Linked DNA regions of Drosophila melanogaster. The protein of the gene in region 3 interacts with the protein of the main gene of each other region in a pairwise test. Each region holds a gene or a part of one and is shown on either strand. Other genes may lie near its edges. The genes, in order: CG13102, CG6845, CG14984 and Pex14.

The links.
Region 1: the proteins of CG14984 (region 3) and CG13102 interact in a two-hybrid assay, tested with the Drosophila melanogaster proteins (one large-scale study listed by BioGRID).
Region 2: the proteins of CG14984 (region 3) and CG6845 interact in a two-hybrid assay, tested with the Drosophila melanogaster proteins (one large-scale study listed by BioGRID).
Region 4: the proteins of CG14984 (region 3) and Pex14 interact in a two-hybrid assay, tested with the Drosophila melanogaster proteins (one large-scale study listed by BioGRID).

What each region holds. Positions count from the first base shown.
Region 1 is NT_033779.5:9,008,514-9,016,026, reverse strand, and holds CG13102 (uncharacterized protein), read right to left. Parts: upstream 3,840-7,513; 5' UTR 3,764-3,839; coding exon 3,706-3,763; intron 3,643-3,705; coding exon 3,466-3,642; intron 3,402-3,465; coding exon 3,184-3,401; 3' UTR 2,978-3,183; coding exon of another isoform or gene 2,105-2,977; 3' UTR 1,878-2,104; downstream 1-1,877. Other genes in the region: Rcd-1r (Rcd-1 related), read left to right, coding at 2,105-2,977; CG9568 (uncharacterized protein), read right to left, coding at 4,783-4,991, 5,063-5,248, 5,310-5,367.
Region 2 is NT_037436.4:142,603-150,688, forward strand, and holds CG6845 (uncharacterized protein), read left to right. Parts: upstream 1-3,830; 5' UTR 3,831-3,901; coding exon 3,902-4,104; intron 4,105-4,169; coding exon 4,170-4,480; exon of another isoform or gene 4,481-4,535; coding exon 4,536-4,796; intron 4,797-4,850; coding exon 4,851-5,064; exon of another isoform or gene 5,065-5,127; coding exon 5,128-5,281; intron 5,282-5,333; coding exon 5,334-5,811; intron 5,812-5,859; coding exon 5,860-6,043; intron 6,044-6,101; coding exon 6,102-6,239; intron 6,240-6,292; coding exon 6,293-6,368; 3' UTR 6,369-6,454; downstream 6,455-8,086. Other genes in the region: Pdk1 (Phosphoinositide-dependent kinase 1), read left to right, coding at 1-277, 341-615, 913-1,218; Dic61B (dynein intermediate chain at 61B), read right to left, coding at 7,206-7,416, 7,482-7,694, 7,747-8,086.
Region 3 is NT_037436.4:3,949,260-3,956,364, forward strand, and holds CG14984 (uncharacterized protein), read right to left. Parts: upstream 3,292-7,105; 5' UTR 3,090-3,291; coding exon 3,002-3,089; intron 2,618-3,001; coding exon 2,493-2,617; intron 2,228-2,492; coding exon 2,093-2,227; 3' UTR 1,934-2,092; downstream 1-1,933. Other genes in the region: CG14983 (uncharacterized protein), read right to left, coding at 1-33.
Region 4 is NT_037436.4:20,775,704-20,782,826, reverse strand, and holds Pex14 (peroxin 14), read right to left. Parts: upstream 4,029-7,123; 5' UTR 3,895-4,028; coding exon 3,784-3,894; intron 3,725-3,783; coding exon 3,422-3,724; intron 3,150-3,421; coding exon 2,721-3,149; 3' UTR 2,449-2,720; downstream 1-2,448. Other genes in the region: Pcif1 (phosphorylated CTD-interacting factor 1), read left to right, coding at 1-54, 117-242, 308-436, 497-1,169; Pex16 (peroxin 16), read left to right, coding at 4,673-4,784, 4,845-5,758; pitslre, read right to left, coding at 6,120-6,653, 6,774-7,123.

The DNA.
Region 1 (7,513 bases), on a different chromosome or scaffold from region 3:
CTCTCGAATGCAACATTTTCGGTCGTCGCGAAGAATGGAAATTTGTTTGGTAAATTAAAAGTACTTAAAGTGCAAGTCAAGATCCCAGCTTCCCCCCAACTAATACCACGTCCTTTGCTCCCCCGTCTCATCTGTGGCATTATGTATTCTTTTTTAAAACATGCAAAATCACGTCTATGCATCTTAATAACTTTTCGTGCTCGTGCAAACAATGCGAACGTGAAAGTTGAATAGGTTTGGCTTAGTTATCAGAGGGTTCCCGTCTTCGTTTTCGCAGGAGGAAATTTTCTGGGGTCTCGGGCAGGTTGCTCCATGGTCTCTCAATGCATAAATCAAATGTACATATTGTAGTTGAAGCTAAACTTAATTTAGTTTCCGGGAGTTCCCAACAAGTTTCGGATATCGAGGGTGGATTTGGAGCACAGATAAGGGGAAAGTAAGAATATTCCTGGTGGTGCGGATGTTTGATTTTTGAATCTGGGTAGGTCTCAAATGTAAGCAGTAGTTTGTATTCAAGTATTTAAGACTGTTACAGTTATTGGTTAAGGCAAGACAGATAAGAATTGTATCATAAGTGTTGACTTTCCATTGTTAACAACTATAATTTCTTAGTGACACTCGTTTTGATTCGCATATCTCGAGGGAACAATAACTTCTTAAGCTTGCCTATAGTAAAACTATAGTATTGTATAGCTAGTCCTGAGCCAGCTGCTATAGCCGTGACCATAGTCATAACTTTGTTTAGCAAACACATCCATTCCCATTCCGAGGCACACATGAAACAATTGAATCGAAAAGAAACCAATCAGTCAACAGGGGTATTCCCCACGTAACCCACCGAGGGCTGCAAAAAACCAGTCAAAAAAAAAAAAAGTAACAATACAAAAATTAATTGATGACGTGCACACACGCATACATACATGAACACTCACACAGCCACACAGATGACGCACCAACACTAATTGGCAGCAGGAACAACGTGGACCACATATGCATGTATGCGAGGATATAGCCTGGAAGTCGATTTGATAACCGTGCACGATATGATGGGCGGCATGGATCCCTTCCGCTTTGGTTATGAAACATCCGAAAAAGGGGACGCTGTAACGGGATTTTGGAGGCGGCTCGGTGAAAGGGTGAAAGGGGCGTGAACACGGCCAAATCGATGCAGACATAGACGAGCAACAATCAATCAATTAAATGCCTGAATGCAGCTCCAAACAAACCGAGCCACGATAACCATAACATGACCCACCGGATAATGTTCGGCATGCAAAAGTGAGATTGACTTTTAGGCAGACGGCAACACTATTAAAGATTTATTCTTGTTTCTCGGCTCGTTCGAATCTCCGATTTTCTCTGGGATAGTTGGCCAATTTATGTGACGGACTGAAATTTTTAAAGCTCTCTGCAACAAACAAAATTGAAATGTTGCACGATGTGGCAAAGAATACATTTTCTGTTAACCATTTCTGTATTGGCAAGTAATTCCAGAAATGGACAACTATTCCAAGCATCCATCTGTTTAATGGGTTAAATGCGAGATAAAATATTTGAAAATTTTAAAGGCAAATATTTGTGTGTGCTAGAATGATTTTTGATTTATAGTATTTGTCAATACGAATTCATTAATTCTAAAACTGGTGTCCAAAAGTACTTAATGGTCATTAAGCCATAAATCGGACCTCCATCAGATGCGCAATTAGTCTGGCCATTTCAGAGAGCTAAGCTATGCTATGACATACTTAATAGAATCATAAATTTTAATCATCTACCGATTAATACTTGTAAAATATAGAGAAAACGTGAATTTCCAGACGAATTCCAAGCTGCCAATCAAATCAATGGTGATAAGAAACAAAATTCTGGGAGACATTCGAACAAGAAATTATTTATTAATTTATGGCATTCGTGCGTTCCTCGGCTCTGGCCACATTGTTCGGCCACGTGCTTTCGGTCCTTTCTCGCTTGAAGCTTATATCGATAACCACAATAGACGCCAACTCGAAACCACGTTTCTCAATCGTCCGTCGAAATTCCGGAGCCAGATCTTTCCAAGCTACTAGATCTTTGCAAGCTAACGCGAAAAAAAACCAGCTTTGCGATGAGTGCGGAACCAAGTCCGGTAATGAGTCCCCAGCAGCAGGCCGAGCGGGAGAAGGTGTACCAGTTGATCATCGAGCTGGCCTATCCTGCCACGCGGGAGACCGCTCTGCTGGAGCTGAGCAAGAACACCTATGCGGACCTGGCCCCCATGCTGTGGAAAAGCGTCGGTACCACCTGCACCCTGCTGCAGGAGATCGTCAACATATACCCCATAATAACGACGCCCGTTTTGAAGGCCAACCAGTCGAACCGCGTGTGCTACGCCCTGACTTTGCTACAGTGCGTCGCCTCGCATCCGGAGACTCGCCCGGCCTTCCTGCGGGACCAGATACCGATGTACTTGTACCCCTTCTTGTCGACCACGTTCAAGAGCAGGCCCTTCGAGCAGCTGCGCCTGACCACGCTGGGCGTGATTAATGCTCTGGCCGAGACCGGTGATACGGAGGTCCTCATCTTCCTGATATGGAGCGAGGTCGTGCCTCACTGTCTGACCAATATGGTCAGGGGATCGAAGCTGACCAAGATCGCGGCCACTTCAATCCTTGAGAAGATACTGCTCGATGAGATGGGTCTGACGTACATTTGCGAGAACCACGATCGCTTCTCGCAGGTGGCCATCACCCTGGGCAAAATGGTCATCCATATGTTGAAGTTTCCATGCCTCCGGGTGCTGAAGCATGTGGTGCGCTGCTATCTACTACTTACGGAAAATGCGCGCGCTCGCAGTGCACTTAGAGTGTGTCTGCCGGATCTGCTGCGTGACGGCACCTTCACGTCGCTCGTGCAACATGACACGTGCACCAAGCAGTGGCTGCAGATGCTGCTCAAGAACCTGCAGACAAACGCCGTCAACCCAATGGGCTCCTCCTAGAGAAGCGCCCAACAACTTTCGTCACTCCACCGTCCATTCAAGCGCCATCGATTAGTGATACCCACTCCTAGTTAACTGCTCGACCGAATAAACATGGCCTACATAATCTACAAATGAAATTATGATATTACTAAAATTGACGGTACAATAAAAAATATCAAATATAAAATATCATAGCTCCTAGCTCATATTTATTAATAGTCACACTAGGCATACATCTTGACCAGCAAGAGACCCAGAACGCTAGACGCGATGGCAATAGTGCTGCTGCTCATCTTTCCGGCCGGATTCTTGTTGCACTTGTCGCCCGAACAGGTGAGACACCAGGTCTTATTGTAGTGAGCATAGGCCGGCTTAAGTGCTAAGCTGCAGGCTCCAACATTTGGATGCACACAGCCATGGAGCTGATGGATCACATCGTTATCTGGCAAGTGGAAAGTAGTTAATAAATCTTTATAGTCCGCTTCTGGGGTCCCCACGCTACTCACTCCAGTTGTACTTCAGAGCCAGGCAATCGAATCGCGTGCTGGTTAGGTTGCCAACATTCTGATGATAGACACCCAGGTAGTAACTAGTCTCATTCGCAGCCGCATTCGTGCAGGTGACTTTCTTGGGACTCTTGCAGTCCTTTGGCGTTACGCAGGTGTAACACTTCAGGGAATCAGCTATAATCCATGTTAAAAACAATCAGTTGATCTCGAATTTCACATTTTACGCAATTGACTCACCAATTTGCACACACACAAAGGCCACAAGTATGCTGACTATTAAAGCTTTCATATACATTTTGGTTTAAATATTTTTACTTCACACTTAACTGTAGTACAACTTTGCAAGATGTCGATTCGCTTTAAACTAAACTCTTTTTAAATGCCAAGAACTCTTTTATACGGCGATTCTCTTCAGATTTTGCACAATACTCAATTCTTTGAGATAAGCTTGTATGTATGTCGTTTGTTAAGTTAATCTTATCATTTTACGTTTACAGGCTCATAAACTTATCAAAAAGTTTCAATGGAGAAGCAGTAAGGGTTTCCCCTTTCGAAACTCATTCATTTTTGGAAATATTCCTGTATTCCTACTCTCATTTAAACATATTAAATCAAATAAGAATTTCACTGCTTTACCGAAATAACAAACATTTCATAATCCTCCAGCAATATATATAAATACATATATATATTTAAGCGTAAATTCTTTTTAATTTTATTTGTAAAATTCGTGGGCCTAGCCCACTGTTTCAAATATTAGTCACAACCTGGTAATCTAACACCTGAGCGGCTTTAATAAAGAGCTCTTATCTTAGTCCCCACCAAATCTATATGCAATAAATGATAAGTCTGTTGCGTAGAATTGGTAGCAATTGGGAAGGGGAACTTTTTACCTCATTAACTTGAAGAGTTGATTGGCAACTCTTCATGATTTATGGTCAAAGATTATTTACATTTTTATTTTCTAGAATATATGCAATGGTTACATTTTAGTCCATCTTAATTAGTTTTTTTCTTGTAGAAAAATGCTTTAATTTATAAATACGATTGTAATTGTGTTGATTAGTAAACTTTATAAGCTAATATATATTAATGCGTACCCATAAGACTCTTAAACAAACAGTCAGGATCTCCTAGGTGAACAAGATAGAAATGAAAATCAATATTGGATTTCCATGTAGAAAATTTTACGCATTTTTTATGATAAGATCCCATTGTTCGTTATCTTAAATGATTTTATTTTTAATTCAAATAAATATTGTACAATCAAAAGGTAGTTGAAATACTGTTTAGCTCCGTCGTCAGATTATAAGTTTAGCTTAGAACTTTGGCCAAAATCACGGCAATGGCGGATCCCACGATTGTATAGACACTGCTGCTGTAGGTTCCAGCTGGATTGCAGTAGTCGGTGCCGCATTGGAGGCACTTCTTGCTCCATCCACTCGCGGTGTTGTTCAGGGAAAGATTGCAGACATTCGTTTCGTTGAAGACGCAGCCCAGGAACTCAAAGGTGTGAGTGTAGTCTGAAAAGGGATGCAAAACAAGTTAGGATGTCTTCTTTCAAAAGCGTAAATCAGAAAAAAAAAAAACATACTTGCTGCATGATAGTAAGTGAGATTGGCACACGAAAAACTCAGACTGCCATTAACGGTGGGCACATTACTATGGTATCCTTCCAGAAATTCCTTATTGGCATTGGCCGTCGAATTGGAGCAGGTTTCGGAGGAAGGACTTTTGCATCCAGACGGCGATGTGCACTTGGAGCAGGTCAGTGAGTTGGCTAATATATAAAAATATTCCATTAGCAAAGATTCAACTTTGTGATCACTTTTTCTTCTCACCAAACGGCACAACCACAAAGGCCACAAGCACCACACAGAAAATTATTTTCTTCCACATTTCGATAGGTTAATATTATTCCTAATAATTATAAGCGCAACTCTTCGTAAGGCTACCTCAAGCGAAACTGAATCAAGTGTAGCCGATAGCTGCTCAATTTGTAGTCCAACATTTTACCTCAATAAAAGCGGCTTTTATGTCGGTTATAAAGATTAGATTATGTTATCACTAGGCCCGCAAACCCACTTTGAGTCAGGAATTGTTGACTAAAGCCAAATACGGGGATTTCTGCTGATGAAGTGCATTTTCAGGTCGGCGGATAACTGTTATCAAATAAATTCCAATGTGATAACTAAAGCCAAAATGGGAACAGAACTCTTCCCAAGTTTTATATGCTTTTCCGCATGAGTCTATGTAAAGTTAAATCATTATGCAAGTATTGCCAATTGATAGGTGACATACAATGGCTTATTTATACCAATGTCTAACATCCTGATTATTAGCTGATAATATTCCAATAAATGATACCCGCCATGTTTATAACATACGTTTTATATGTGAGACAAAACAAGGCTATAAAATACTATAATACTATATGTATGTGTCTCAGAATATATTTTTTAGTATTATTATTAGTTATTAAAAGTTAAGTTTGTTTATGTGAGGTAATGTCTGAAGTCGATATGAATTCATGACGATGAGTAATAAGCTTCAACCCAGATAAGAAACCCTAAACGTTCATCATAAATTAATTTGAAATAAAAACCGATTGTGAATGTAATATTAAAAGTTTCTACCTTATAAACAAAAAGTGATTCATTTGCATTGGGCTATGACAACAGGATGAAGTAAGAAATAAATAAAATGTTCAATTAGTTTAGAACCTAAGATTTAGTTAAAAGGAAGAAAGCACATAGCTTAGCCGCCAAGTAAACTCACGATAAGCCACAAAAAAATGATTCCATACTATTTTTTGTTGCTCAAGCCAAGGGATAATTTCAACAATACTAGAAAAGGACTCGCCGTAGGTGGAATTGAAAATCATACATCACAATCGTGGGCATTGCCCCGGACATGTCACGAATAGCTAAGCAGCTATAACAACAAGGATGCTAAGCCGCTGTCAAGGATGCGTAGGAGAATATAACAAATGACAGGACCAATGACTGACTTTGCATTGCATTGGGAGGGAGCACTCCAATTTGGCAAGAACGAAAGAAAAAAAAAAAAACAATGGATCGCCTGCGGTCGAGATTTAAAAAGTACGTGTATCCGAGTGTCCAAACAGGTAAACAACAGAATTACAATATGCTTTCTTAAAAATTAAAAAGGAAAAAAGTAGCAGACAAGAAGCAGCAGCGAGCTCTTTCCGACAGGACAATAAGCAAGGATAAGCATCGAAATGATGATGATGATGACGATGGCGGTGGTGCTAAGAGCTGGCAAGACAAATACAAGCACAAACATAGATACAGATACGCGACAGGCGACAACGATAGCAAAAGTCGAGGAGTCTGACAGATACATTTTAGTCCTGTTGCGGCTCCTGTTTGTCTACTTTTTCCGCTTTTTGTTCCTGCCCTTTTTGTCCTGGCCACATTTCCGCTTGCACATTTCACTCGTATTCCGGTCACGTATCCTTTTTAATCCTGACAAGAATATTATTTCCATAAAAAACATACATACACGCTCACTCACAGGAAGAGCGACTTGCGGCACCATCCCGGCAGATCAAGCATACGCCGCGTTGGCCACCACCTAACTAAGTCGTAGACATAGACAACCCGCAACGGCCCTAGAGCAGATGTATTTAATCTTTCGAATATATATATTGCCATACAACTCCAACCCTATAAACAAATTTAAATAAGTAGAAAGACGAATTCGTTAACACAAAAGATATACAACTTTTTGTTTTCAAAGAAAACATTTTCGAAGTTAATACATTTGTTAGTGGAATATAGCTTAAAATTTAAACATTAATTAGGTATAGGACAAATAACCAATATTATTATTTAAATATAGTCCTTAATTTACTATTCCTTATTATTCTCAATTGAAGAAAGGTTAAGGAGCACAACGAAACTCTTTTCTGTCCTCATTAATATGCAGTCTGTCATTGCGAATGCAAGGATTCAATAGGTTTTTTTATGCTTTCGACAATATTTGTTGTTCACATAACAAATTACAAAAGCTGCAAAATAAT
Region 2 (8,086 bases), 3.8 Mb from region 3:
CGCCTGGGTGCTCAGGACGAGTTTGGATATTACGAATCCATTCGGGCGCACCCATTCTTCGCCGGCATTGACTGGCAGACGCTCCGTCAACAAACCCCTCCCCCCATCTACCCATACTTACCGGGCGTAAGTCAGGATGAGGACTTCAGGTCCAGCTATACTGTGCCCGGGGATTTGGAGCCTGGCCTTGACGAACGGCAGATATCGCGACTGCTTAGTGCAGAATTAGGCGTTGGCAGCAGCGTGGCCATGCCCGTCAAGCGATCGACCGCAAAGAGTAAGTGTCCACGTGGTGCCCCAGAAAAATACGTTGGCTAATGAATGTATTGTTTTTCTTCAGACTCTTTCGACCTGAACGATGCCGAGAAGCTGCAGCGTCTCGAGCAACAAAAGACTGACAAGTGGCACGTTTTTGCCGACGGCGAAGTGATCCTCAAGAAGGGGTTTGTCAACAAGCGCAAGGGTCTGTTTGCCCGCAAGCGAATGCTCCTTCTGACCACGGGACCGCGACTCATCTATATCGATCCCGTGCAGATGATCAAAAAAGGAGAAATTCCGTGGAGCCCAGATCTCCGAGCGGAGTACAAAAACTTCAAAATTTTTTTTGTCCATACGGTAAGTGTTTACCTATGGTGGGATAAGGATGCACGAGGCGCAACTCGGAAAACCGAGAAAGCATAAGTTTGTTGAACCGATGACATCACAGCTTATAGTTCGTAGCCAGTCACACGCCTACTGAAAAGCAATTTGAGCGTTAGTTTATGTCCCGGGCACGTGTTGGCTATGAAAGCAAATTAAATGCGGCATTGAAAACTGCACACGCAAGGCAGATAAAAACTCAAACTTGTTTGGTGAATGGGTTTAAAATTAGCGTTGCGCTCAACTAATTTTACTCTTTTGGTTTCATTGCAGCCAAATCGAACCTATTACCTGGATGATCCCGAAGGCTATGCTATCCACTGGTCGGAAGCTATTGAGAACATGCGCAAGTTGGCCTACGGAGATCCCTCCTCCACATCTGCAGTGTCCTGCTCCAGCGGCAGCAGTAATAGCCTGGCTGTCATCTCAAATTCATCCGCCGCCTCCTCAAGCAATTCGCCCACGGTGAAACGCAGTTCCCCCGTAAACGCTCCTCAAGCTTCGACGGCGTCTGACAACCGGACATTGGGTAGCACCAGAACGGGGACGTCACCTAGCAAGAAGACGGCGTCTAAGTAAACGTAGTCCTATTTATAGCAATGTGAAATTAATTTAGTTGAAATTTAGTGCAAACGAAGCGATGGCGTAGAAGAGGGCGGGAATAGAAGTAAGCTTAGAAGTAGAAGTAAGTGATGAAGGGGAAATAATGATCGTGTCTCTAGTGCTAATTAGAACCAAATTTCTGTTTTCCGATTTGTATTGTGCTTAGGGCGAAAATATAACACTAGAATAAACTTATCTAAAGTAAAATACATCTATAACGACTAAGTAAATTCAATTTAAAATTTAAATTAAATATTTATATACAGCATACATAAATACAAATATATTCGTATTTAGCGCGTAGTTAGTCGCAATTGAAATGAATTACACACGGAGGCAAGGTGGCATTGTAGGCTTAAATTAAAAGTAATTTCGTGAAGCAAACTAAAATCCGTATTTAAATGGTATAATACTAGGAAATTATCTGGAAACTGTAATATACATAATATGTGTATGTACGTCGGAGAAATAATTTTTGTTTCTGTTATCGTGGGAAGATCACATATATGTTAATATAAATTTTGTAAACAGTGTAACTATGTACAGAACTATGTGAGCTATATGCACACGGCAAAAAGACCCTAAGTCGTGGGGAAGGAGATGGGAATGAGCCGGAAAACCATCGATGTCACAAAATCGGTGTTTTTCCAGCTTCACGCTCAACTGTTTAGGTAATTCTAATATACAGTTTAACGCTAATTATCATTATTTATCATTCTCATTATGCTTTTCGTTTACCTATTTGCCCTATAATGAAATGTATAAGACTTGAGCTACCCTAATAAAAGAACGAATTTTAAATTATATTTTTATTTTGTAAGGGCTACCACTAAAAACTCAACAGTCGTTCAAAGATTGTCAAGATTGGCGGTCGTTGTCTCTCCAACTGACTCCAATTGAATGTGTGTAAAACAAGTCTTATACAAAGATATATGTAATAGATGTAAGACAGACTGCAAAGTTTCTTGAAACAAATTAGTTAAATGTTGTAAATGTCTAAGTTGCTACCACTGCTACTACTAGAACGCGCCCATCCCCTCCCATATTTACCTTTAAGCTACAGTAATTAAGTGATGAGCAGAGGTGTAGAGTAAGGAGTCGAAGTTGAAAGAAAGCAAAAAATACATTTTGTACATACATATCGCCGTTGGTCGATATACATCTAAACATAATTTAATTTTTTGTTACTTTTAAGTAAATTATTTTTGGCGACCTAAGTAAATTAAAATTAACGCAATATGCAACAACACACATAAGTATACAATTAATTAAATTAAACGAAAATTACGATTTATTAAACGATGTCATAGAACGGAGAGCCACTGATAGTGAGAGAAATCTGTAAAATAAATATTTAAACAAATTATATATTATCTATATATGAGTACCAGAACAAGAATGTCAAAAAAGAGAAGCATGTAAAAATAAAAAATATATTACGAGTAAAACAAAAAAAGATAATCGAGCGAAAGGAACGTATCATTAACAGGAAAAATTAAAGAAAAATACAAAAACATTTCAAAGTAACAAAATTACGATAAAATTTGTTTTTATTTTGGTTCGTTTGGTTATTACAATTGGCAATATCTAACTGATTGGGTAATAAGTGCGCGTATCCCAGTATCCAACGTTGCAAAATGATACAACATTTCAATAGGTTTCAAAATCTACGTAAGATACACATAAAACGACCTGACTACTTTGTTCTACCCTACGCTTGTGCTGCAGTACCTAAAATCGAAGAAAGAGTACAGTGAACAGGGCTAAGATATAGAAAGACAGCTCTATTTCTGCAATCCAAAAAGGGCTTGCCCTAATTAAAATAATTGCAAATGCATTGCGCTTCAAATCCAGAAGCCTTTTTTACCTTTTATAGCCTACAGGAAAAAAGAAAAAAGAGGAGATAACGGAAAGACCCATAAAATCGAAAAGTGCATAGGTAAACCTGTAGGACGATTAGTGGAATACTAAAATCATCATATGTTTTAATCAATAAGTATTCCAATTTTACCAGGGGCAAGTGTATGCGAATTCTTTCAGTACGAGTATTTAATATATTTATTTTTATCATAATTGTATAAAAACCTGAAGCTCCAAAATAACTTGATCATTTTGAGAAAAATATTAATAAAAATTATTTTTTTGTTTATTTTCTTATTATTTAGTTACATATAATTTTATTTTATGTTTATGTTTTTATAATTTTTATTTTATTATTCATTATATTATAATAAATAGATTCGTTGAATAGTATTAATATTGGATTTGAATGCAGCGATGCGTTTTACGCATTTCAAATCCGAAACTCGCTTAGATCACACGACGTAACTTTATAAGATATATAAATCAAAAATAACTGTTATTTTGAAAGAGAAAAAATGATGTTGTTTGAAATAAAGGAACAAAAAAGCGAAAAACAGAAAAAGCAATCGGTTAAGTTTTAAATTCTTTTTGGGCGCCAAAAATGAATCGGATAAGCCAAAAACAACAAACAATAGGCTTTTCGATTTTAAGAAGGGTCACATTTCCGATAACAATGAAAACTCACATTTAAATTGGTCACACTAAGTGGGGCGCCAAGAGAAAATATCGATATCGATTCCGACTGTTGTGTTAGACTTTACAAATAAATTACAAAGAAATCGATCAAAATAAAATCATGGAAGAAAGTCAGCCAAGGTATGGCGCTATGTGGACATTCAAGCTGGTGGCACCATACGTAATTGGCGGCTACCTATGCGGCCTCGCGGTAACGCTCGCATGGAACTGGTGGCAGCTGGGCCACTTGGTTCTGGGTCTTAATCTCACCTTCGCGATTCCGGTGGCGCTTGTTCTGGCGGTCTTTTACAGCAGGCCCGTAAGGTAAGAACTACCTGAAAAAGCCCAAAACGATTTGTGTCTAACAGTGTTCCCTCACTGGCTGCCAGGTGCATTGTGACTTTGGCCCTTCCCTCGCTGTGCAGCTCTCGGGGAAGGGCGTTCCTCATCAGCCTTGCCTTTGTTATTGCCGCAGTTGGGCCTACGGCGAACATTCTAGCCAATTTGAAGGTGATGCTCCGCAGCCTCGCTTGCGGACAGGAGCTATTGCGTCAGGCGCTTGGCCAGATGTTGGACGTAATACTGGAGCCGGTGAATGCCATCCAGCTAGCGGTGGATCTCTTGATGCGGGAAGTGCGTCGGGTGCTCAAGCTGGCCATGGTAGTGCTGTTACGCATTCAGGACCAATTGATCGCAATTAGTGAGTATCTGTATTAAAAAGTGCTGCAGTTTTCTCTGCTGATTCATTTTTGTAGTTAAAACCCTGAAGAACTGCGCCGCTTGGCTGAAATCCATCGTAGACCTGTGCAACACAGAAATGGGCACTCCCTGGGCACGTTGCAAAAAGACGGCGCATCACGCAATGATCAGGTGCCAGTCAAAGATGGGCGTATTCAAGGCGCTATGCCATGCTGCAAAGCTGTTTCTGGCCCTCTGCTATCCAGCCAAGATCATCGATGTGTTTTGCAGCGGTTACTGGGATCTCAGCTGGGGTCTTCTTGATAAAATCGCAGAACGTGAGAGTGTAAACAACGATCGGTACTTTGGTTATTAGTTATACGATCTCGCAGGCTACCGTGAATTTGTGCGGCACATCGAGGAAATGTTTGATGCCAATATCACTTTTGAGCACGAATTTTTCTTCGATACAAACTCTTCAAAGAGCCTGACGGACGTGGGGGAGGAAATTTTACAGGATATTAACAAGCGTCTGTCGTCGTTTATCTTCTTGAGCAGCTTTGTGGACATTCTCTGCTGGGTCATGGTGGTTACTGTATTTTTTAAGTAGGCAAGAGCTTAATCATCTTATTAATTTAGTGTTGGTGATGCCTCAATTGTTCCCATCAGAGCCACCATCTTCTACCTTCGATATATGCACAGCCGGCAATTTCAGAATGTGTTCTTGACAAAGATACTAAGTGATATCGACCGGCGGCACGAAAAGCACGGTTACGATCCACTGCTACCCCTTCATCAGCTTGAAAGGGCAAAGTATATGAAGGTAAGGTTTCCCTACGTTTCCCTGACATAATATTACAATGATTTCATTGCAGCTTACTAGCTTGCGTTTGACTTTGTTTGAGTTCGTGTCCATTGTTGAGAACGCCTGTTTCATGGCCACAACCTGCTTGCAGTTGTTTGCGATTTGCTTTCTGGATTACGGGCTGTTCTGGCTGTTGGCAACTATATCCCTCCATGGCCACCAAGAGACTGGGCTGGAGGTGCCCGCTTACGTCGATCTAGAGATTAAGGGTGGGGGCTTTGTGGCGGATGTCATGCGGGGAATCGCTAATGCCTTTCGACCCTTGACGCAAAAAAGCATTTTAGACGTGAATCCTTGCCTCCCGCTGCCCGTGAAACCTGATTATGCGGAGTATCTAATTATATTATTACTCTGTCTGCTCGCTTGGCTGATCCTTTTGGCCGAGCCGTATATTTTGCGTACTCGCCATCTTATAATGGCCCACTTTTATCCAAAACGCGCCAAGGAAAGAGGCATGTTTCTGTACAACATGATTTCCGAAGATAGAAGTAAGAAAGTACATACCTTTTAAAGTTGTTCTAATGTATTCTCTCCAGCAAGCATTTTTAAGTTTATCCGCCGCAGAAAGCGTAATGAGTTTAACCACACACGGAATGTGAAGCACACCAGAAACTACACTTGGCTGAACAATAGATTCTCCTGTTTAATGTGCATGTGCTCCTGCTGCTCATCCTGTCAAAGCACTGAGAGGTGCACCATATGTGGCCGATCTCTGACTCTGTAAGTAACTCCAATCGTTAAACACACTCCGGGTTACAGTTGGATGTCCCCTTTTTAGTTCAAATCGTAACCCCTGCGACACTCCTGGATGCAAAGGGGTTTATTGCGGTAAATGCTTTGAAAAGTCACACAATAAGTGTTGTCTGTGCAATCGACCAGTGGATTATGGTGATTTTTCCGACGTTACTGAAGTAGAGTGAGTAAAAACCAGGGTTTAATCGACTATTCTTAATGGTTTTGTTTGTGCAGCGACTCTTCGGACTATTCTGAAAAAGAGTCTTTTAGCGAAAGGCAGTACAGGAAGACCTGTGGAGGACAACGCTAGCAACGAGGGAAAAACAGTTAAACATAGAGGTTGTGAGCGCATACACGTTATGCAGATAGCTCAGAAATATAATATTTCCACCTATTAAATACCTGATATTCCAACAATTTAATATATGGTTATAGGTGAGTTATTCAATAAAAATAACTCTTGTTATTGCTGATCTGATGTCAGTGCAATTCCTACCCTTCACCGCCCATGGAAGTCGCAATACGGGGACTGCGTTGTTTGGCGAGCTTCTGGGCTGAAATTATTATTTAATTAAATACTACAGCGACAAATGGCTACACAGCAATTCAGAAAATAACCTTGTTCTCACCCCTGTTTTCGATTTTTTCTTTTTTATCAAAGGCTTGTTTGCTTGATACCTATTTTTATTTCTTCTTGGGCTATGACTGTAACGTGCTGTTGAACATCTTCTCATTATTGTTGACTTTCTCTTTACGACTGTTTAATAAATTCTGCTCTTCCCCCACATGCGGCTTCCATTTACCAAGCTTATACGAGCATTTATTATATAACACCCGTCGACTTGCACCGATCCCTCTAGACCCTATATCGACCCCTATCCACTTGACCACCATCGTTGACAGTCAACCACACACACTCGAAAAACAATGGAGCTCATCTTTTCGAACGGATTTTTGTGCTTGTGCAAGGTAATGCCCGGTCCGTTCGGATGATATCAAGTTACTATTGGGTAGTTTTGTTTGACACTCGATCGATCGCCGTTGTGTCTCTTAGATAGCTGATGCGTGAACATTTCATCAGTGCCATCCAGATTCGCTTTCAGGCCGACGAATTATTTTGTTTTATTGAGAATACCATTTTTCCTATCTAAAAAACTGCTTTTTTGTTTGGGTACCCAAAGAAACCAATGCTTTTAAGCTCCATAAGAAGCTCGTGGTCGTTGCCAATTGCCTTGAAAATGGCTTTCTCTAACTCGTCGTATTGGAAGTGTGGCGAAAAGGGCATGTCGTTCAGGGCGTTGAAGAGCGTGTTCCCGCGCTCGTTGCCAATAACCAATGTGCGACCACAGTGGGAAAACCTAAGAATTGGTAAAGGAAATTCCTATTCAATTGGCCATTTTTGCGGAAAGCAATAAAAGCTTACCTGGCCACAGTATTAAAAGAAGAGTCCATCTTGTGCTTGGACATGGGTCTTAGCAAATTTCGGCGAAAGTCCCAGACGTTAGCGGTTTCCCGGTTCACCGTCACAATAATCGTAGAGTGGGTGGGGCTCCACTTGGCCCAATGCACTGGGGTCATCTCGTCTAGCAGTTCGAGAAGAGGTCGCGTGATGCCATCGACCCAAATGCGTACGAACCTGCAGAATAGATACTATCTTTAGCTACCCTTGATAGAGGGCCACTTCCTACCAATCGTTGCCGCAGGTGAGGAAGAGTTTGGGAGACCAAGGCGAGAACTCCATTACGGTGACACCCCCGTCGTGACAACGCAGGACTTCCAAGTACTGATGCTGATAATTGATTGAGCACTTGTGGATGCAGCCCTCATCTGTCAGCACGTAGTAAATGTCCTTGTGCAGAGGATGTGTAGTGATGCTTAAGCCTTGCGGGTGGCGGTTAGACTCGCAGGGGATACGCGACGATGGGTGAACGAAAATGCCCTCAGGATGCCCCTCGACTCGCTCCAGAATCATTTGGGTAAAACCAAGCAGGAAGGGACTTTTGATAATCCGGAAGCGGGTGACCGAGC
Region 3 (7,105 bases):
CAACAAGTCGACAATTTTCGGTAGATGTAACATTTTTCTGAATGAACTTTGACATCTAGACTCGAATTGGCAGCATTGGATAATGTTATATAGACAGCTTAACAATTCAAAATCAAACGTCTACTGATCTCCAAGTATTTTTGGCTGTGTACGAGTGTCATTGGATTGGACGGAATCGAATTGAGAACCGGGCTGGGGGACTCGGATTGGAATTGCTGCTCCTGTTAATGGGCAGCCAATAATCCTTAGTATTGGCATCGGTGTAAAAATGGCGATAATCGCCGGCATAACCGTTAACTTGATTATTGTTTAAGTGCCACGCAATTAAGCCGGGCAATTCTCAAATTAGCCCGGATGGGTCGCTCACTGGTGGCTTATTCTCATTGGCGACCATTGCCATCTCATCTGCCATGTCCTTAGGTCCTGCAATTGAACTCCTGGCCTTTAACTTTAAAGTATTGGCAGTTGGCGAGCGGAGGTGCAGAGGAGCAAAGGAGCAGCTTGCGAGAAGCTTGCGCTCTCGAATAAAGTCGCAAATCATTGAAGCATATGCAATTATTCATTTTGAGGTTGAATGCGCTCGAACGCACACAATGATACAAGAACACGGTCTTGGCAGCTAGTGTGTGTGTGTGTGTGTGCGTTGGTGTATCTGTGTGCGTGTGCAAATACTCGCTTATATGTGATTGTACGCAGAGGAATTTAAATTCAGGAGCTGTTTCTTAAACGAGGATGCTCCATAAAATTCGCTTTTACTACGCATAGTTTTCGTCGCTTTTTTGTTGTATGTATTTCTTGTGGTGGTTTTTCCCTTTGCTTTTTTCCTTATACAGCCACTTTTTTTTTTCTTGCCCTCCTATTTTGCCTTCCTTTTAATGCCCTCTTGATTGCAGCCCGATTTCGTCTGCAGATAAAGCCCCCAGCCCCCCAATTGCCAAGCCAGCTAACCGCCGCGAAGGACACTCCATCTTGGTTAATCCATCACTTGCATCGTAGTAGCTCAATAGTCTGGGACCTTCCAATTTCCTTTGCCCTTTTATAATTAACTTTATGTGTATGTATTTAGTTTTATTGCTCGTTAGACAGCCGGGCTGTGAGACAATGAAACAACAATTTGTGATCGCCCCCAATCAGCCAGGACGGGCCAAAAAATCCTCCAAGACCACAACGCCCATTCTCCCATTCCGTTAACAAAGCCGAACCGCAACGTGTGTAGGCCATTTTGGAGTTTTACTCGGCCCAGCCGTTGCCATTATATTAATTACGAACGTTTGCGCCACACAGCTTCCTGGCCAGGACCTGGTCCTGATTCTGGTCTTCAGGGTGTCCGGGCGTCCGGGTGTCTGGGTGTCCTTCCTACCATTTGAGGGGTGCCCGCTACTCCCTAATGGGCACAACAAGTAAATCACACTCAAAGCTCCAAGGCGATTCCAGCGACGAGCTTCGAGGACTTCGAAGCCGAAACAGAAAGAGAAACAGGACCCGAAACTGAAACTGAAACCCAAAAGGACCGAATAATTTCCATTCAATGTGTGAAACTTGCACAGCTCTTAACGAGCTTGGGTCCACAGAAATTCAGAAATTCATTTAAGCGCGCCAGACAGGACACACAATTCCTGGCTGGTTGGTTATGGCGATGGTGACGATGCTGAGTCGAATGGGAATGGCATCGTTTAAAGCGACTTAACGTGCCCGGTAATTTTGCAAATTGTACAAATAATTAAGTTGGAAAACTCTTTACAGTTTATTTTAAACAGGGTCAGGACCTTTTCGAACTCGCCAAGGCAAAACATTGATTTAAAGCAAGACCTGAGTAGGCTTTTAATTTCTAAAATATAGTATATCAAATCCATACTTAATGGCGAAATAGTTGGTTACTATTTGATTATAACTCTTTCCGGATTATGCCTAAGAAAAGTAAGCAATATAATTTATTCAGTTAAAACTGGCCTTATTTAAATGTTTATTTCATGTTTAAATATACACCATTTCGCCTGCTGATTTGTCACCAGACCTTAGGCGCTTTCGTTTGATGGACTTAACTCGTAGACTAAATAAGTTTAAGCAGCAATTTTTGAATTTATTCAATTCCTTAATCCGTCTTTCCTTTGATGGCCTCAAAGCTGGCTATATCCGATACCGTGGAGCTGGACGGAGCGGGAGCGGGAGCATCGGATGTGGTTGGTGGGTTTGTAGTTTCCGCCTGGGGAGATTCGGTGACGAGACTCTGCGAAAAGAGCAGTAAAATGATGGTGAATCCGAGGGGTTTTCATAAAAACGAATCAAACTAAGCACACTATATATATGAGTAGAAACTGCATGAAATAACAAATTTAAAAAATTTGAAATGAAAGAGAACATTAGAATATATGTGAATCGAGCGATCTAACTAACTTCTGCAAGTTCATATACCACAGTTGTACATAAAGCAAAAGGACTTCAAATAACGACCACATAATCCTGAACTAGCAGTAAATGTCCTTTGGACTCACCTTCGATTCGCCCTCCTTGAAGGCCTCGGCCAGTCCTGGATGGATTTCGCTGAGTGGCTCATCGCCATGTCGGATGTAGACGGGCACATGACCTTTGCGAGGCTCCAGCTCCTGGAAGGGGGCCGCTGGTGGGCGAGAGAGAGAGAGGGGTGGGGTGGGGTGTTTCAGTTTAATTACACGCCATTAAATTATGTTTCGCTTCATTTTTCCATTTGTGTTGCTGTTTGGCTTATCAGCTGGTTAATCTGCGCCGCCTTGGCTATGACATACACCCGGAAGCCTTGAATCACGACAAAGCGTAATTATGACTAACGAGCCGAGTAACAGTGAGCTTTGTGCCCCACGATCCCCAGAAACTACGCCACTGGCCGGCGATTCTGGCGCTCGAAAACCTGTTTTCATCTCTCATTCCAAAACAATAGCCGCAAATATTTCAAGCAGATGTGCCATTAATATTAAGCATTTAGTGCCCGTAAAAGTACATCATATATTTCAGCCATTCCACTTACCCTCGGTGAGAAGTGCGTGTACGGCGAGAAACAACAGAACTCCCAGCAAGATGCTCTTTCCCAGGCTGGCGGATGTCTTCTTGACCATGGCTATTCTATTTGTGAACTTCTCGCGATTTGATGGCGGACTGCGATCGACGCGACTCCAGACTCGAGACTCAGGCTAGATCGGCCAACGGCCAAGCTTAAATCCGACTCGACTCCAGCGAACTTTTGCCGGGCCAATTACTCATGGGTAGCAGCATCCAAACAGAGAGAGAAAAATTATGTCATCGATATGCAGGAATTGCAGGGAAATTGCATGCACTTTACTTACTACTTATTAAGTATTTTAAAAGAAAGCTGATCAGTTCAGCTTAAGAAGTTTCTTAAACCATTTTGAAATATATTTTAAATGTGTTTGTAAAATACTTTGCAGTGTATCCGCTTGCACCTTTTATACCCCACCTCTTTAAGCACCAAAAATGCTCCCCTTTTCTCGCAGTGCACGCGAATGATGATGGCTCCGATGATGGCTGGTAATGAAGCTGTCGGCGAACTTTTCGAGCTGTGGTGGGGCATAAAAAGCTTGGGGCTTCGCGGCAATTGCCGGAGTTTCTAGGGTGTTGAGGGGAGGGGTTTCCTCGGAAGAACAGCAAGGGCATGGTTTCTAACCCAGCATTTAGTGGCCTGTGGCGCTCCACTCCTGCAACGCCGCCACACTCTGATTGTGTTCCTTAAATTCAAACGTTATTCTATTTTTTTTGCCATTTTTTCTTTTTTTTTTTCTGTAACTTGTTTCAAATTAATTGGGTCGTTAGAGAAGCCATTTACGCGGGAGAGGTTCGTCTTTTTTGCGCCCTGCTGCCAGTTATTTTTGCTCCGCACTCGCCTTTGAATTGTTTGCCCACTTTCGTTTTTGTTGAGCATTCAAATCGAGAAATTGCTGACATCTGTGGATGAAATGCCGCGGGTCGTCGGATGGATGGGTGTATGGATTGGGATTGGGCTTGGGTTTGGTTGTACTGCAGCGGCGGAAATCGGAATACAAGTACTTGTATCTGCCTGCGATTACGCCATTGAATGCAAGTGGAGGACTTTGCGATCCGGAGGATTGGCAGGAGGCATGTGGAACGAGGCCTCCTCGACACGTGTGTGTGTGTGTGTGTGTGTGTTTGCCCGCCTCGATTGTTCCGCGTCCTTGATACAATTCCATTTTGATTTCGGCATTTCAGACCTGCCCATGCCCATGGCCGCCCAGATTGCGAATCAAATTGTTGGGCAAATATTCAACAGAGTAAATATGTTTATGCCGAATCAAGCAATTTCATTTAAACACACTCCACATGACGAGGCACTTGTACCCCCGCCTCTGTGTGTGTGTGTGGGAGTGTGTGCCCCGCCCCATTCAGATTGCGATATAATGCTCAAGTACTGTGTACTATAGACATATACTATAGTATACTACTATATGATGTGCAGCCATCTGCTGAATGCCGCTTGTTGACTGAGCTGCCCGTGTGGCTTCCACATTTGAATCGAATCAGCGATGCATAGTTTATTAGTTGCGCAATAATTTGCCCTTAAAACAATGGCATCTAAACAAATCAGCCCTTTTACTTTCAGTGTAAAGCCCTTGTACTGGACTCGAGTGCACTCAAAGTGCGTGTTCTCTATGGTCCATTGAATTAACTTTCATTGAAGTCCGACCATTTCAAGTGGTTCTATTAATTAAAGTTTCAAAAAGTGAGCAAGAAGCTTAATTGCAATCATAAATATGCAATCATAGGTGCTTAAAGAATTAATTTAAACAAAGTGCTGTTGAGTGTAGCCAATAGCCAATAGCTTCATATATCTAGGCAACTAATAACAATAATTAAATAAATTTAAAGAAAATTGAAGCAATTAATTTTAAGCTAGATAAATAATTATAATTATCTGCAATGAATGTACTTACCTCAAACCCACTTCCCATGAATAAGAGCCAGAAAACAAGTATTTGGTTTTCTCTGTCGTTTATTTAATATTTTTATGTATTTTATGTATGTTTATTTCCGAGGCTCTAAAAATAGTTACATGGCTGCACTAGTGTGTGGGTGTAGCGTTTATAACTATGATTCTAATTTATATTCCATCGACTCATCGTTTTCGGATTTTGTATTGGATGCTTCGTGTTTTTTGTTTTTTGTTTGTTTCTTTTGGGGGGGAGTTTAATTCTTTGTTTGTTGTCATTTCCATAACGGATTCTTCTGGTGTGATTCTTCTGCTTTCGTTCGTTATGATTCGAATTTCGAATCGAATCGGTTCGCTTTCTCCTCCGGCTATTCGTGTGTATTTTAATTTAAGAATGGATTAGCTTTCTTTGGGATATAATAGGTTATATGCTCTACATATTTGCCATAAAATCGCATGGTTATGCATGTGGGTAGGTCTGTAGATGTCGGCTAGTGTCTAATAGAGTGTATGGGGTTACGGGGTCAAGGGTCAAGGGTCAAGGGGTAACGGGCTTATTAGTATAGCTGGGTGTTCGTTCATCTAGGTGTGGTTTGTGTTTAAAGTCGATTATTTAACTCCTACGGAAGCTGAAACTAGTTGAACATTCTCTAACTAAAAGTAGAACAAGAACGAATGCTAAGTATCAAAAGGAAAAATCTAATCTGTGAAAACTCCGATGGGGCGGCGCCTTAAAATCGCTGCCCGCCAATCGGGAGTGGGCGTGGCATCGTATTGCATTCATACGTATTACTATATATCTTTAGCTATATATATTCCTGTACGGCCAGGCGATCGCGCCGGCCGTGTGGTCATTGAGTATATACTTGAATTGATCTTGAGTTACTTGAGGGATTCCTATTCGTCTTGCATTGGAAAAGTTGAGATTCGGTTTATGATGTATATGTTTATGGTTCGCTGTAAGCATTTATATATAAATAAGTTAAATATGTTTACTTATATACGTGGTTGCATATATGCCGGTATGTATGTATATATTTTTTTTTAATGAAGTATACAATATATTGCAATTTTAAATGTATATAACTGTTCAAGTCTTTTTGCATCTCTAATATATGAATATATAAATTAATATCTTTACGTTATTCATCGTTCATTTTATAAAATATCTCACCGTTCGATTTCTGCCCTTTTGTTTATTGTATAATAATCAAAATGTAATTGGTGTCTTTAATCTAGAAATTATTTCATTCTATCAAGAGGGTGTTTGGGCCGATCAGCTGAAGTTCCCGACTTCCTTTTCAACGATTATATAAACTAATGGATAAATATATATTTATGGTTTGATTAAATAACACATTTTTCCAATTGTGTAATATGAACATACCGGTAAATACTGAACCTAAATATTAAACTTAAACCTCGGATGTGTATTTAACATTAAAATATGTGTTTACATATTTTTGAAACCAAACAAAATTAACTAAAGTTAAGTAAAGAGAAATCGGGAGCACAGCTGCACATCTGTTTTGTAAGTGTTTTGGGGGCTCTAATTAATTTTTGCAGTTGTGTTCGGGGTATTTCGATTTTGGGACTCAACTTGTTGCGTGTATAAAACAAGGTTGCTGTGTAAAAATATTTTTAGCTTCATATTTTAGCCCCACTTCAATTCATTCGAGTTCTTCATACTTTTAGCTCTTTGTCATTTTGTTTGCTTCTCGTTTCTCGTTTTCATTTCACTTTTATTTTTTGTGGTGTATAATGTGTATAAATAAATCTTACTCATAAATAAATCAATTAAACGCTCGCCTCAATATATAATCTATTTATATTCGTAATTATTTCATATATATTTTGAATGTAAAATTGCAAATCACATAATTGTTACCACTACTGTTCAATGGAATTTCTTATATACGTTTTTTTTTTTTAGTTTTTCATTGGTTTTTTCTTTTTCGGTTTTTATTTGGTTTGCTTATGTGTATATAGGCATTTAATGCTATTTAAAACGCTATCAATAATCATCAATAAAGCCATGCATAAACACGATTTCGAACTATGGCCCTATAAACAATGCACATAGCACTCACTGGTCTAAATTCTAATTCTGCCCCGATATTCTAGATTCTAGAATTGCTGCTAGAACTGCGACATGCGGCATTACTTTACGTG
Region 4 (7,123 bases), about 17 Mb from region 3:
CCGACAGTACTGCTCTGCGTTTGCCGACACGGATGCCTACTTCGGTTCCAGGGGGTATGTAGCCAAATAGTGAATTTTAATAAGCTGAATCTAAGTGAAATGTGTGACCTTTACAGGCCCTTCCTCGACTTCAAGCCCGTTTCCGGTTCCTTCCAAGTAAACCCTCCTCATTGCGAGGAGCTGATTGAGGCTTCTTTGCTGCACATCGACAAACTGCTCACGGACACCATGGAGCCTCTGAGGTGAGATTAAACATCGGTTTGATGTTGCTTATGAGTATAATACAATTTGTTCTTGTTTTACTCAGCTTTATTGTGTTTCTGCCGGAGTGGAAGAGCATATCCAAGCTGGACGACAGCATGTACAAGCGCCGTTCAATGGTGGTATTGGGCATGGCCCACGAGTACAGACACGGCTATCAGCACATGTTGCAAAAGTAAGTTAGTTAAACTTATGCTTTTCCCATTCATACTTATTTAACTCCGTTAATTTCCAGGTCTGATGTGCTGATCAAGTGCATGCAGGGCACACAGGTGGTGTGGTTGCAAAATAGCGCCGGATACGCGCGATGGGGACCCAATGAAATTCGCGTGGAGGCACTGCGTGAGGCCTTCAGGCCACAACGAGATCGGGAGCGTGAGCGGGCTGCAGCTGCGGCGGCAGCAGCTGGGGTAACCTCCAGCCAGCAATCGCCATCGACGCCCCCATCCGCCGCATCCACGGCTCCAACAACCAACTCCTGTACGATCAGTGGAGTCAATAGCAACAGCTCATCCACAGCCACTACAACGAGCACAAGCAGCAGCCCGTCGCTGACCACAACATCGTCCTCAATGTCGCCACTGTCCCCGCACACGCCCACCGGGAATCCGCCGCCACAGTTTCCGATGACCATCAGCAACACCAGCAGTAGCAGCAATTTGGTGGCCGCCTCGCCCACAATGAGTGTGCAAAGCGATTGCTCTTCGCCCTCCTCGTCGACGATGTCTCTTTCACCGGCTCCTGCTTCGGGCGGCTATCCGGATGGAGTGACATCTGCCACAGCGGCAGCGGTGAGCATTACGGCAACGACTACCACATCGGCTGCTGGAGCGGGATCTGCATTTGGCCAGGCCAATAGCATCAGTAGTTCCGCATCCACGCAAGCGGTCATCAACTCAGCCGTCTAGATTTGATTCTTTTTGGGATCTTGCTATCCACACATGGTTCTATTTTGTCCATACTATCTGTGCACTTTCTGTTAGCATAAATTAGGGTTACATTTGAGGAAGAAAAAACCAATTGGGCCTGAAGCCACACTAGCGGCCATGCTCCCAGTTCTGAGGTTTAGTTTTGTGTAATCGGATGATAATCGCTTTAATTTAAACAAACGCGGAAGCCAAAGGGATGGCAACTTCTGTTTTTCCGAAAAAGTACAACTATCCAATTCCGTTTTCAAAATGTATCGTTGGAACCAGGAAAACGCATATACATATTACGCAATATTTTGTAATTTCTTATTTTAAAAACTTAATTTGTAACGTTACACATCGCTCGGTGTTAATCAAATGATGCCTGTCCGAATGGTAAATTACGTTTGGGTCAAACAACAGGCTTTAAAACACTAAATATTTTGTTACACATTTTTGTACTTCTTGTCAAAGCTTTAATTTTCAAACGTACACATTTTTGTACTTCTTGTCAAAGCTTTAATTTTCAAACGTACACAGTGCTCGGCCTTTGGCAGCTGGTATTGCCCCCATCGCAAGGTATAATTAATTGTAAATATGTTATATTTAATTTGAAATAGCTGATAAAAATGCCGGCCTGGCCGCTGTTTATCTTATACGATTGTACCCAACAAACAAGGGCCAAGCTACCCAACAAAAGACTCTAATAATGCATACATAGTATGGGTAGGGGTACTGTTCTCTATCCTTGTTTCAGGGTATTTCGCAATGGTTTGTCCATTCACAAAACGAAGTGAGAAATAAAGAACACATTCATGTGAACTGTGAAGCCCTTAACAATCGTTTGTGAGAATATTAACTTACTAGAATACATTAACTTTTACGAAAATGGCAAACAATTATTTGAATACTAAATTATCGTATGTACAAATCGATAACTAACGTAAGTAGTGAAGGAAATTTAATGAAGGGAATGCGCAGAGAACCAAATTTGTAATTGAAACAAAACCATAACTAGGCACCGCACAATAAATAAATAATTTAAATCCGTTAAGGATCTGGGTGGAGTCTTCAAGGAGCTTGTAGGCAAAACCTCGAGGTGCTCCGCCCGGCATAATCTTAAATCAAACCTAAGGGAATTTAGCCAATTTATAGAAAGTAGCACTCGGCAAAATTTTTAGAATCCAATTATCGTCTAAGTCGAAATTTATTGTCTAAACCGATATGCTATCCCCACCCCGTATGTACCGATAAACAAAAAACTACACAAAGCATTTTTGCGCTTAATTAAACAGTTTCTTTCAATTCAAACCTGTTATTATGTAAACTTTTTATTATTACATTGTATAGACATCGTATCGCATAAGTGTGTATATGTGAGTGTGTGTATGTACTTTTGGATATGGATTAGCTGTTGACTATAAAGAAACCTTAAATGCTATAAACGCAAAGAAAAAAAACCAAAAGTCTTGAAGGCATTTAACGGGGAAACTCAATTTACAGCGTAACTATATACTACGTCTATATAGCCAGCCTCGTATTCTGATTGCATTACATGATCTCCAAGCTGGAGTCACTATTCTTGGTGACCACCTCTGTCTCCGACGAGCCAGACCCGGATCCAGCATCATCGCCCTTCTCGTTGTCGTCCGACCCGCTGTGCCGGTGATGGTGATGCGGTGAGCCGGCCAATTGCCAGGCGGGAATGGATGGCACTGCGATCGGAGCCACAGGGCCGGCGAACTGTTTTCGGTTCAAAAGCAGGCCCTTAATGGCATCCAGATCGCTACGGAAGTTACTAAATTCGCGGTTCAGCTGCTGGGCGTGTTCCCTTTGCTGTGTGGTGATCAGATCCCTGACCGCCAAAATCTCCTTGTTGAGGTCGTTGGTGCGGGTCTCTACCTTCTTGTCTATGTCGTCCAGGACTTCATCGACCGCCTTCTTCTTGGACTTGCCGAACAGGTAGGGCGCAATGTATTGCTGAAATTATACGGGTTTTAGAAGTTATTAGCAATCATGGACTTTGGACTGGTGGACCACTTAAAACTTATTTATGCGTCCTAACACTTTTACAAAATGTGTTAAATACTAAGTAAATTCAACGTCGTCTGGTAAAAGTGTCATCAAATATATGTGTAATGTATCTAAGCCTTAGACAAGATGGCGATCTTTAAATTCGCACTCGAGTTGGTGGAGTAAATATAATAAATCTTTTTAAAAGACCCCGAAATAGAGATCCCACTGCATCTCACCTTCCAGAAGATGTAGACTGCGTAGACGACTCCGCTGAACAGGGCTGCCGAATGGATGATTTCCCTGATCCGGCCCAAGACAGTCGGCTGCGGCTGCAGCGCGTGCAATTGGGATCCAATGCTAATGACGGTGTTCGGATTCGGATTGGGCTTGTTGGGGTCTTGGGTGAAAACGCCGGCCCGTTCACAGGCCAGCTGAATTTCGTGAGCGGTGAGACCTTTGGACCGTAGGAACTGCTGCTTCTGGATAAGTGTCGTGTGGCGCACCTTGGTGTTTTGTAGAAAACTGACTGCAGTGGTTATCTGCGGCGAATAGTCGGATTATAGATTAGGCAAACTTGAAGGGGTTGAACAAATATTACCAGCGATTCTCGAGGCAATTGCTCATCTACGCCGGCCTCGACATCGTTCTGCACCGAGGTAGCCGTCGCCATGACGGTGGTGTCCCCAGTGTCCGTGTTGTTGCTGGACATCTGTATATCGACTCTTAATTCAATCTTGCCTAGCTAATACACACGAAAACGGAGTGAATCCGAATTCACGAGCAATTCGATTACAAAGTGCACAAAAACAAAAGTGTGACCAAAGACTTTGCTGCTCTCGAAATTACTAATGCATTAGCGTTTCTAGGGTTATTATGTATAACGTTAAGGTAATTTGTAACGTAATAAAGATTTGAACTTGGAAAAATGTTTTTACCGAAAAATTTGGTAAGAAATGTTTCTATTATAAAGAACATAGTACCTGGGCTAAAATTTTAAATGCATAATATACCCAATAAAAATATACTGCAGTATAAAGAATCAGGAAACTTGAATTAAGATGCCGAGACTAAACAAGCAAATCTTTACATTGAAGAACATTAAAAGGGGCTATGAAAGGTTGGTGGCAGATATGCCAAATGTGGTTCTTACAAATTGTGGGTCCTTAATTATTAGTTTCTTTTTCTATGACGTGTAAGCACCAATGTGGTAAAATTTGAAAGTGTAATGGCGATAAGCTCGTGACACTGGTATTTGGTATTTATTTTTGTACCAATTTTATTAATCCAAAGCGTTTAATCAACGCTCTCCGTGCTTGCATTCATATATGTATTCATTTTGCGTCACCTTCTATTTTGTGTTGCATGAAAGCACTAACGCCTTGTTCAAAACGCCAGAACACCACAACTGCACCGATTTGATTACCTGTAGACCGAAACACCTCATTATTTTTATTATTTGGAGGAACAGACAATATTTTCCGGATATAATGGACACTCTGAAGGGCATGCTGAAGGCGTACGAGGCGTGGGTGGGCAAAAACCCCGACGTGGTGGGGGATTTTGAGACCACAGCCAAGTGGGTATCCTACTTTATAGCAGGTAAAGTGAACTCCTTGCTTACATAGAGCCTACAGACTCATCTCATTGGCCGGCTTCCAGGTCGCATTTCCTCATCAAATGTGGTCAGTGAGCTGGTATATACACTGTCAAACATGCTGGTGTTCTACAACGACCGGATCATCGAAAAGGCACGCAATTCCGAGGAGAATTCGGTGATCCACCTGCAATCGAAACTTTGCTACCGTCTAAAGGTCACGTTGACGACGCTCGAATATAGCGAGGTTTTCATCGAGATATCAGCCCGTCGGCTTTTCGGTCAATCCGGCAAGTGGCTGGTGATAGCGCTAATACAGGCCTTCAAGGCAGCGGGCCGTTTCTTTATCTTGAAACACTCAACCTCGGATATAATCACCTCACCGCCCATCGCCGCACTGAATCGAAGGGCCAAACAGAGGAAGAATTCGGGGGATGGTGTGGCCTCCTCCACGAACGATTTATTGCAGTCCCAGCACTCCATTACCTTCCAATTGAAGCGATCTGGCCGTGTGATTCGTAAAGTGGAGGGTGCTCCTCCCCTGCAATACCGCGACTTCAAGCTTCATATAGACAACAATGAAGCGGCGAAGACGCAAATTCCGAGGAAACTCCTGCAAGCAGAATACCTGTATATATCGAAGCCACTAATCCACCTGGTCGCCATGGGGCTGTTCGGCCGGAGAAGTTGGAAGCAATATATGGTAGCATTATCCATTGATTTGTATAGCATTCACCTCTACCGCCAGCATCGCGACCTAATGTCCAAGCAACAAAAACTGGAGCTGAGCAGGCGATGCATAAACATCATGTACTTCCTGGTCCGATCGCCGTTCTATGACAGCTTCACCAAATCCAGACTGGAGCGGATCCTCGACTTTGTGGCCACAAGTGTGCCCATTGCTAAGGTGGTTGCCAAACCCCTTAAAGATTACATTCCCACGTGGCAAAGCACTTACTTCTATCTGTGGTCCACTTAGGCATTTCAGGTAGAGCGTTAGTATTCCCCTAGGCTAAGTTTTAAAGTTACAGGTGTGGACGCATTCGGAGTGTTGAGGGTGGGTTGAGTTTTGGTCCTTGAAAAGTTGTTTGCACAATAAAACGATGGAGTAATTTTCGATATGTTTATAGCCAACTTTCATATTCCTTGAATTGACCCACCCACATGGCATTGCCGCTCTTGAGGTGAAAAATGATTATACATCCCAATTGCTTTGTATGGCTTTTTAAATTATATATGGAACAATATTTATACACATACAATTAAACGAAATTTTCCACTTACATCGCTAACTATACATAACAATTAATCGTAATCGTAATGGGCTAAAACACACAGAATCAGAACTTCAGACTGAATCCCGGTCCCATGGCCAACTGGCGCTGCGTTATTCCAGCGTTCAGGACAAATCCCGTGCTAGCCGACGATCCACCAGCTCCGTGGCTCTTCTTGTTGCCAGTGATAATCCCAGATGAGAGCTTGTTTCCCGGTCCCACGATGATGGGCTCGTCGCGGCCTAGTTGCTTGAACTGCGAGCCACCGGATGGCGGTTTGGGGGAAGAGGCTTGCGCCTTGCGGGCTCCCAACTCGCTCTTGGCCGGCCAGGTGGGAAACATGGATGGATCGATGGGCAATGGCAGCTCCTTGAAGAAGCCGTGCTTTAGTGCCGCGTCGGCGCTCAGTCTTTGTTTCGGATCGTACGTCAGCAGACCCTGCAGCAGCGACAAGCCCATTTCAGAGGTCTTCTCCTGGAAGTGCTTGCGCAGTTGCGAGACGGGATACTCGGTAAACTGAGAGTTCTGCGACAACATGTTCTTCACGGCTGGGAGCTCGGTGTATCCTGGCCAGATCTTCTCGTTCGGAGTTCCCAATTCCTAGAACAATAAATCAAAAGTCAATAAGCATTCTCGGCAAATGAATTTCAAAGTTAATACTAACAATTGTTCAACAAGCTTATTTTAATAACTAAACTTTAATGCTCAACCACAGCTTACCTTAAAGATCCTGTTAAGCTCATCGATTTCAGATTTTCCCGGAAAGAGCGGCAGCATCTGCAAGAATTCGGCGAAAATGCAGCCTACCGACCAGACGTCTATGGGCGTGGAGTAAACCGGCGAGCAGAGAAGGAGCTCGGGTGCACGATACCAGAGAGTGACAACAAGTGAGGTATACTTCTTGATCGGCGATCCATACTCCCTTGCCAATCCGAAATCACCCACCTTGAGAATGCCCTTGTGGGACAAGAGGAGATTGGAGGTCTTCAGGTCACGATGCAATATCCAATTGTCATGGAGGTGGGCCACCGCCCGCAGAAGCTGCTGCGTCAGACATTTGACTTCTCCGG